Linked DNA regions of Ovis aries. The protein of the gene in region 1 interacts with the protein of each later gene in a pairwise test. Links are inferred from orthologs where the notes say so. Each region holds a gene or a part of one and is shown on either strand. Other genes may lie near its edges.

The links.
Region 2: the proteins of C21H11orf68 (region 1) and EIF4H interact in binary tests that used the Homo sapiens proteins (3 or more experiments, as listed by UniProt). The two-hybrid records come from large-scale screens. The link is inferred for Ovis aries from reciprocal best matches to the Homo sapiens genes C11orf68 and EIF4H.

The regions. Positions count from the first base shown.
Region 1 is NC_056074.1:40,461,718-40,466,204, forward strand, and holds C21H11orf68 (UPF0696 protein C11orf68 homolog), read right to left. Parts: upstream 3,020-4,487; 5' UTR 2,998-3,019; coding exon 2,876-2,997; intron 2,393-2,875; exon of another isoform or gene 2,151-2,392; intron 1,904-2,150; coding exon 1,147-1,903; 3' UTR 512-1,146; downstream 1-511. Other genes in the region: DRAP1 (dr1-associated corepressor), read left to right, coding at 3,401-3,442, 3,686-3,758, 3,867-3,960, 4,233-4,352, 4,473-4,487.
Region 2 is NC_056077.1:33,653,813-33,657,522, forward strand, and holds the end of EIF4H (eukaryotic translation initiation factor 4H), read right to left. Parts: intron 2,766-3,710; coding exon 2,628-2,765; intron 2,544-2,627; coding exon 2,404-2,543; 3' UTR 612-2,403; downstream 1-611. UniProt on the Homo sapiens protein: Stimulates the RNA helicase activity of EIF4A in the translation initiation complex. Binds weakly mRNA.

The DNA.
Region 1 (4,487 bases):
TGAGTACTGCACAAGGATATTTCAGCCAAGCGGGTAGAAACCCAATTCAACCCCTACTCACCGTACCGTGTGTCCTGGTGGAAAAGCAGGGCAGGACCAAGGAGGTACCTTTTTCTAATGGGAAAGGTTCACTGCACAAGGATATTTCAGCCAAGTGGGTCGAAACCCAACCCACCCTCTACTCACTGGACCATGTGCCCTGGTGGAGAAGCAGGGCAGAACCAAGGAGGTACCTTTCTCTTAACGGGCACGAACACACCCTGTGGGCTAGCAGCAGTCCCTCAGACTTTACTGGGCCAAGTCCTTGAATTTATGGGAAATCACTGAACAACTGATTGTGATTCCTGGGATGGAGGTGAGACAGGACTGACTTTGAAGAGGCTCTCAGAGACATTCCCAGCTTGGCGGTTGAAGGCAATCAGGACACAGGGGGCAGTCTCTCCTGGCCCTGCCTCTCTCCGCCAACCAATGCAGGTAACCACCAACACAGTATTGTAAAAAACACTCAAGACACAGACCCAGGCTGGGTTTATTGAAATGCCAGAAGTACGCGTGTGACAAGGGAGCCAAAGAAAGGAAGAAGGTGGTGTCGGCTGTGAGGTGGCAGGGACAGGCCCTGTGTCCTTGGCCCTGGCATCCCCCTTCTGTGCTGGGGGCAGAGTGGGAGCAATTACCCACTCTCCGCCAACAAAATGGCATGCTCAGGCCCGCAGGACCTCTGCCCCCTGCACTGTGAAGGCCCCGAGGAGAGGGATTGGAAGCACTAGTTTTCTCTCTTGTGAAAGAGGAAGAGAAAAGGAGGAAGCAGGAGGAGGGGGAGGTGCAGCCAGGGATGAGGGTGGCCAAGGAAGGTTCTCCTGCTGGCGTCTGCACCCCGCCTGTGGTTCTGGATGACCGAGGGGAGGCAGCAGCGAAGAGAGGCTGAGGGTCCAGCCCTCACGGAGCCATTGCCTCCAGCCAGCAGGGACTGGAGTCAGCCCAAACACAGGACAGAAGTTCAAAGGGATCGAAGATGCAGGCAGTTCCCGAGTGACCCAGTCCTCAGAGCTGGAGGGGCTCGACCTCCATGGGACAAGGAGAGGGAAGACAGGCGGAGGCTCCAGCCCCAGTAGTGGGGGCAATGGCCATCTCCCTCATTTGGCCCTATTAGGTCAGTTCCACATTGTTGGCACGGTCCAGCACACGGGAGCCACGGGCACTGCCCCCCAGCTGGAAACGGCTCTCATAGAGAGTGGGGCAGAGGTGCCAGCGGTTGGCCCGGTAGATGCCCAGGTAGGTGTAGACGTCAGGCTTGTAGGTAAGCAGACACTTCACGCCTGCCGCACGGATGGCTGCATCTGCCTCCAGAACACCCAAGCGGTCCGTGAAGTCGTCCGTATAAACGCAGATGACCTGCCGCCCCCCCTCCTTGGCCCGTGGGCTCACCTTGGCCACCTGCAGCCGGCCCTCAACCACAGCCCGAGCAATGCCAGCCCAGGCGTGGTCCAGCTTGAAGCCAGGTGCCAGGTGTATCAGCCATTTGCCAGAGAGCACTTGGTGGGTGATGGCCAGCTGGCGCAGGGTACCAGGCGTTATGGGCCGCCCGCTGGTCTGCAGAGCTTCCCAGGCGGCCTGTAGGCCCTGCACATCACCCGAGTTGGGGATGTAGCCCTGCCCATACACTGCAATCCAGCCCACGGGCTCAGAGTTGGGCGAGCCAGGGTCCCCATAGCGGGTAACTTGGGACGGCGGGTACTTGGCCAACCAGGCATCCAGCTCTGTGGCAGGTGTCATGCGGGCATCAAACACCAGCCAGGGGTCCATGTCGGCTGCCATGGCCTCTGCAGCCAGGTGCTCAGCAGTGAAGCCATCTTCACGACCACCTGGAGAGTCCTCTTCCTCCAGCTCCTCACCTGGTTCCATCCTGCGGGAGGGAACCGAATCAGGGCAGGGCCGGGACAGACTCAACTTGCTGAGTCCTAGGGGGTGCCAGGGAGAAGGCGATGGCACCCCACTCCAGTACTCTTGCCTGGAGAATCCCATGGATGGAGGAGCCTGGTAGGCTACAGTCCACGGGTCACTAAGAGTCGGACACGACTGAGCGACTTCACTTTCACTTTTCACTTTCATGCACTGGAGAAGGAAATGGCAACCCACTCCAGTGTTCTTGCCTGGAGAATCCCAGGGACGGGGGAGCCTGTTGGGCTGACGTCTATGGGGTCGCACAGAGTCGGACACGACTGGAGCGACTTAGCAGCAGCAGCAGCAGCAGCAGCAGCAGCAGCAGGGGGTGCCAGGCACTGAACTGAACGGTGTGGGCCTGGGCCTCGGCTGCCGCGTCTCCACAATGGATAACAACTTGTTACTGCCTCAAGCAGTTGTGCAGAATTAACCGCCTGAGGTGGAACAAAAGCTATATAAATGTAGTTAGTGTTATTACTGCTCTCCTTGACCTACAAACGAGGAAACCGAAGCTCAGAGAGAAGGGGCTCACTGCAGGTCACACCTTCAGTGAGTGATAGGGCCGAAACGGCAATTCAAATGCGGGAACCGCCGGCCCAGCTACGCCTCCTGGCCCTGCCAGAGCCTGGCCGCTCTCCCGGGCGCTGGGATTTAATGGAGGGAGGCAAAGCACACGTCCTCGCCGCACCGAGGCAGGGCCCATGGGGCCAGGCCTCCGGGCGAGCGTTATCCAACCTACTTAAAGACGAGGGCACTGAGGCGAGAAACGGGCAGTGTCCGATCCGAGACCAACGGGGCGGTGCCTGGACTCGAACCCCGGCTGGATAGAGGCTGCAGGAGAGCCTGCCTCCCGCCCCGCCGCGCCCGCCGCCATTAGTGCCCACGGCCCGAGCTGCGCCCCCGTCCTGCCCCCTCCCGCCAACCCCAGCGTCACCTCCGGCCTTCGCTGCGCTCGGCGCCGGGCCAGCCCCGGGCCCGGCTCCGTTCCTGCCGGGGATCTGCGCCGCTGCCACCGCCGCGCCCCGCCCCCGCCACGGCTGCCGCCGCCGCCGCCATCTTAGTACCCCGGCGCCTCAACAAGAACTTTATAGACAAACGCAGCACAGGGCGGGGCCGGGAAGGGGCGGGGCCATGGGGGCGGGGCCATCAGGGAAGGCGAGGAGGGGCGGGCCTTGGGGGGCGGAGCTAACGTTCGCTCTTCAGGTCTTGGGGGCGGGCGGGAGTGGCGGTTCCGCCCCGGACGGACGCGCAAAGCCCGGGAGGCTCTAAGGGGGAGGGCGCTCGGGCCCTGCCGGCGGCGTCCTGACCGGCGGCGCTAGGACCCTGTAGGAAGCGTTGGGGGCGGAGCCGGCGGCACCAGGACCCGGGGGAACCGCGGCGGACGGGCTAAGAGCAGGCCCGGGTGCCGGGAGGCTGCGGGCGGCGGCGCTGGGTCCGGCGCGGCGGGAGAGGCCCCGAGATGCCGAGCAAGAAGAAGAAGTACAACGCGCGGTTCCCGCCGGTGAGCACGTGAGCGGGCCCCAGAGGAACGGGCCGGGCTCTCGGGAAGCTCCGGCCCAGGCCGGACTAGGGAGGCGGGCGCATCGCCGTGTTCGGGGCCCCGTACGCCCCGCCCCCTTCCGTGCCCTTCCAGCGTGGGTGCCCCCCGCCCCCTTTCTCCCGGGATGCTCCCTCTCTCTGCCCGGCTTAAGCACCCTTTCTGGGACGGAGGCTACGGGGTCCGAGCTGTCTGCCCCCTCCCCAGGCACGAATCAAGAAGATCATGCAGACGGATGAAGAGATTGGGAAGGTGGCGGCGGCCGTGCCTGTCATCATCTGTATCCTGTCGGGAGCTGTCGGGATGGGGGAGTGGGGGAGCCCGGCAGCCCCGGGGTCGCTTTTTGTGGACTGGGCCACCACCCTGCGTTCTCCTTGACCCTCCTCAGCTCGGGCGCTCGAGCTTTTCTTGGAGTCTCTGTTGAAGAAAGCATGCCAAGTTACCCAGTCCCGAAACGCCAAGACCATGACTACATCCCACCTGTGAGTGGCTCCGATCCTAGAGGGCCCAGTTGGGGGTCTTCCTCCAGTTCACACGCCTGGGGGAGGCTGTGCCCTGATAAGGAATTGGTAGGCTGCTGTGAGATCTGTGGATTTGAGGAGGAGGATTAGGATGTTCTGGCCAAGGGGGAGGGTTGGGGTGGAAATTTTCCAGGTTCCATTCCCCTGACATCCACAGAGTCCGTACTGTCCCTTGTTGAGGGCCCAGATGTCTGGGCCTCATCCGAGTGCCAACCCCTTCCCACTTCTTCCAGGAAACAGTGCATTGAGCTGGAGCAGCAGTTTGACTTCTTGAAGGACCTGGTGGCATCTGTGCCTGACATGCAGGGGGATGGAGAAGACAACCACATGGATGGGGACAAGGGTCCCCGCAGGTAGGGTGCCAGGGACCAGTGTCCAGGTGGGGAAGGCCAAGGCCCCTGGACTTGGGGATGGCTGGGGAGTGGTGAAGGAGTGGGGAGACCTGTGGGCAGATGTACTGTACCTTCCCGAAGGGGCCGGAAGCCAGG
Region 2 (3,710 bases), on another chromosome or scaffold:
CAAGTCCCACCTGCTTAACTCTGGGCAGGGGGTTTTCAGCCTCAGGGATGCTCACGCTCCCCTCTGAACGAAAACACCAGTTGAAATCAAGTCCTCTTGCTGGGGAGCAACTGAAGTCAACAGTCGCTCAGGCACTTGGTGGCACACACCCCCACCCTCCCCGCTCATTTCTCCAGATTAAGTTGCAGTCAGGCTCCGACCGCAAGGTAAGTCGATTCACCCCCTTCCCCAGCAGTCGGGCCTCTCCCGAATATAGTCTGCAGCCCTGCACCTTGCCCACTGGGCCACAGAAACCAGCAAACTACCCAGCGGCACCTCCTCAACATACAATCTGCTTGCCGAGAAGCAGCACCCAGCACTAACATGAGGGCACACCCAGGATTACCCAACCAAAACCTATTTTTATGGGGGAAAAAAGAGAAAAATTGGCATTCCATTTCTAATCATTACAAGCTTCTAAAATAAGCTCACAAATCTTGTAACTTCTGAAAGCAAGAGGCTTTGCCCACTGAACAGGACATCCTACTAAATTTGGACATGACTTTCCAAATATAAAATTGTTAGTTTTATGAACAGCTAAAAAACTCAAAAAAATAAAGACAAGCATTAAATATTACGTAAGGTTTTCTTTTATTTAAAAGATCATTCACAAAATACCATATCCATAGATTTACTTTCTGTCGTCATATAGCTGAATGTGTTAAGTGTTTGGAATTCCATTCTTACATTTAAAAGTCAACTGGATTGCCCAGAAGTTTAGATGAATTTGTTTTGTTCTTAATCTTTTCCACATTGAAGATGTAAGTAGGTCATCTGAAAGCATCAGGTTTGATTACAACCACATAATGCATGTCTTTCTTTAGGTAAGTATTGGTGTTACACAAATGGTTCTTATCTCAGAAGCAAAGATGACAGGTGGAAGGAAGGATAGGAGGCAGAGTTCTGTGGATTGCTGAGACCTGGGGACAGGGAGAAGCCGAGGGCGGCAGCTAACGAGGAGCTGTTTCCTAAGCGCGCCGCCCAGGCCCGGCTGCCCCGGCCCTCCAGTCTTGCTGGTGAGGGTCTCTCTTTTCCGGGGCTCTAGCCGAGCCCGGACTGCTCCCAGTGGGATGAACTGGGACTCGGGTGCTGAAAAATGTGTTCACACATAGGTGTCTGAGCTCAAAAGCTGCTGCCTAGCTGCCCGGCCCTGGGTGCGAGCTGAACACTCTATGTGGGAGTGAACGTCCTGAAGCTGAGACCTGGTGACCTTGGGCCACCTCCCTGTTACCTGACAGCTCTGCATAGTCAAATTCTCAGTTCATCAAGTGAGAGAGTAAAGTGCCAGATCCTAGGCCCATTTTCATTCCAAAATTAAGGGACGGTGGGAAGCACAGGCTCTCACTGTGACTTAATGCTGGGGGACAGAGAAGCACAGAGTGAGGCAGGACACACAGTGGGGGTCTGAGAGGGAGCCGCGTCCACACAGGGGTGAGCCCAGCACAGCGCCGCCCCCTGCGGCCCCCAAAGCACCTCTGTGCCCAGCGGAGAGGAAGCTGGACGGCAGTTCACCACATCCAGCCACAGAGGGGCCTCTAGCACGGCTGGTGCCCGAGGGAGACCAGCTTGGACACAGTGCTGGAAGAGTGATAAAAACACGCGAGCGCAGCAGGGCACTGAGTCTGCCTCCTGCGTGCACGCCCCACCGACAGTTCACACCATTCTCTCAGGTTCTGCTGTTTGAAACGTGAGCCTCTTCCGCGTGAACAGCCCATCTGGGAAGCGGGTAGTGGAGTCAGGACTACCTATAAATAGTTACAGGAAGGAATCTGCAGAGATCAACAGATACTTTATCCTTGTTTTGAAAGCAAGGTGTCCCAAAGGCTGTCTGTTGATCCCAGCTGACTAAAAACAAGGGGCTATCCAACGTGGGACTTGCTTTCTTCCTCGGAAGCCACAGCAATACAGAACTCGACATGCAGGTCAGAAGAGAAGCAGTGAGAAAAGGCAAAGGAAAAGGCCAGTGCGGCAGAAGTAAAAGGCGAAAGCAACGGCAAGAAACGCAGCACTCCAACCCAGAGAGCTCCCGCACGGCGCCGCCTCTGCCCCTCTAGAGAAACTCGTGTGCCGGAAGGAGACAAGGAGCGGGGAGGGAGGAGGACAGAAGGGAAAGGGGAAAGGAGTGGCAGGGAAGAAAAAAAGCACAAAACAGGCACTAGGCAGATACAGCAAAGCCAAGAATGTACTAAAAACCACTTGTTAACTGCTGACATGCACTCACAAGCTCTGTGTTTCCGTTGTAAGAAAGGAGGACAAAGGTCAGGCGCAGGAATGGTAACTGCAGGACTGCCGGTCCGGGGGGCGAGCCAGGCTGTGGTCTCGCGCGAACGCCCCCCACACCCCCATTCCCTCCCCACCACAAGCTCATTCTTGCTCCTTGTGAACGACTTCCTCTCTGGGCCTGGCTCCCCCAAAGATGGCAGAGTTGGGGTTGGCTACTTGATTGAGGGGTGTTGCGACTGTTCGAGGTTTAAGCTGGAGCCGTGGTCTCTGTGCTCGTTCCTCTGGGGGAGGGAAACACAGCGCGGTTTACCGAGGCGTCGCGAGAAGGCGCCCTCCTGCCGCCCGTTTACATGTCACCATCATACCTTCTGTGGGTTCTCTGAAATCCATATTGGACCCTCGAAGGGGAGGGCCATCTCTGAAACGACTTCCCATTGGGGGGCCTGTTCGCCGGTCACCTGGGCGACTCCCTCCCCGGCCTCCTAAGAAGTCATCCCTGAAACCTGTGGAAGGAAGAGAACCACAAAGGACTTTTTATACTCCTGTCTCAAAGCTGATTATACAGCTGTGTGAACTGTTTGCGCTCCATTTAAAATGCCTCAGTTTGTCCAGCATCAGAAATTTTTCCGAGATCAAGTGCACTCAAAACGGGTTTAAATGTGAATCTGCTGGGCAATTTCAACACTGACAGACTTTTTTAATCGTAGAAGATTAAAAAAAAAGAATCTTAGGAGAGAAAAATTAAATAAGCTGTTTAAATTCTTAAGTTTGTAGGAGAAGTCAGTAAGATTGTATCCTAACAAGGCTTAAAATAAAACTCAAAGCACATTTTATTGTTCTGATTATAATCTATAGTTGTTAAAAAAAAAAACAACCCTGAAATTTAGAAGTTACAATTTAGAATGCAAAATCACACACACAGCTAGATTTGAAGACAAAATAAAAACACCAAGTCACCCCTGGGTGACCACTCCCCTTTTTCCAGTTTCTGCTGCCATTCAGGTGTGTATCATTCTAAAAGCAAAGCACCTCTGTGTAACCAAAGCTCTCATCAGGCCCACTCCCTTCCCAAAGAGGGAGTCAGAGAGCAGGAACCACACATCCAACCCACACCTCTTACAGCTGCAAAGGGCTTCCCCCCAAGTCCTCTGTGCATCCGCTAAAATAATTACCAACACAAGTGAACTGCATCTCATTTAAAATTAGAGTAAGCTGCCATTGTCTTCAGTGTGAAAAACATTTTCTCAATGGACTTTTAAGAACCTTAAGCCTTACTTTGTTTTGTATTTAACTGAAAGTCACTGGGGAAGGGGGCGAATTGTCTTAAGATAACCTTTTAACAGCACAACCTTTCGCTCTCAATAAAAATTTAAGATCACAATTAAACAAATGCGCTTGCCCTCTATGTTTAAGCTCCTGCAGGTGACTACTTTCAGTCACTCCAAGGG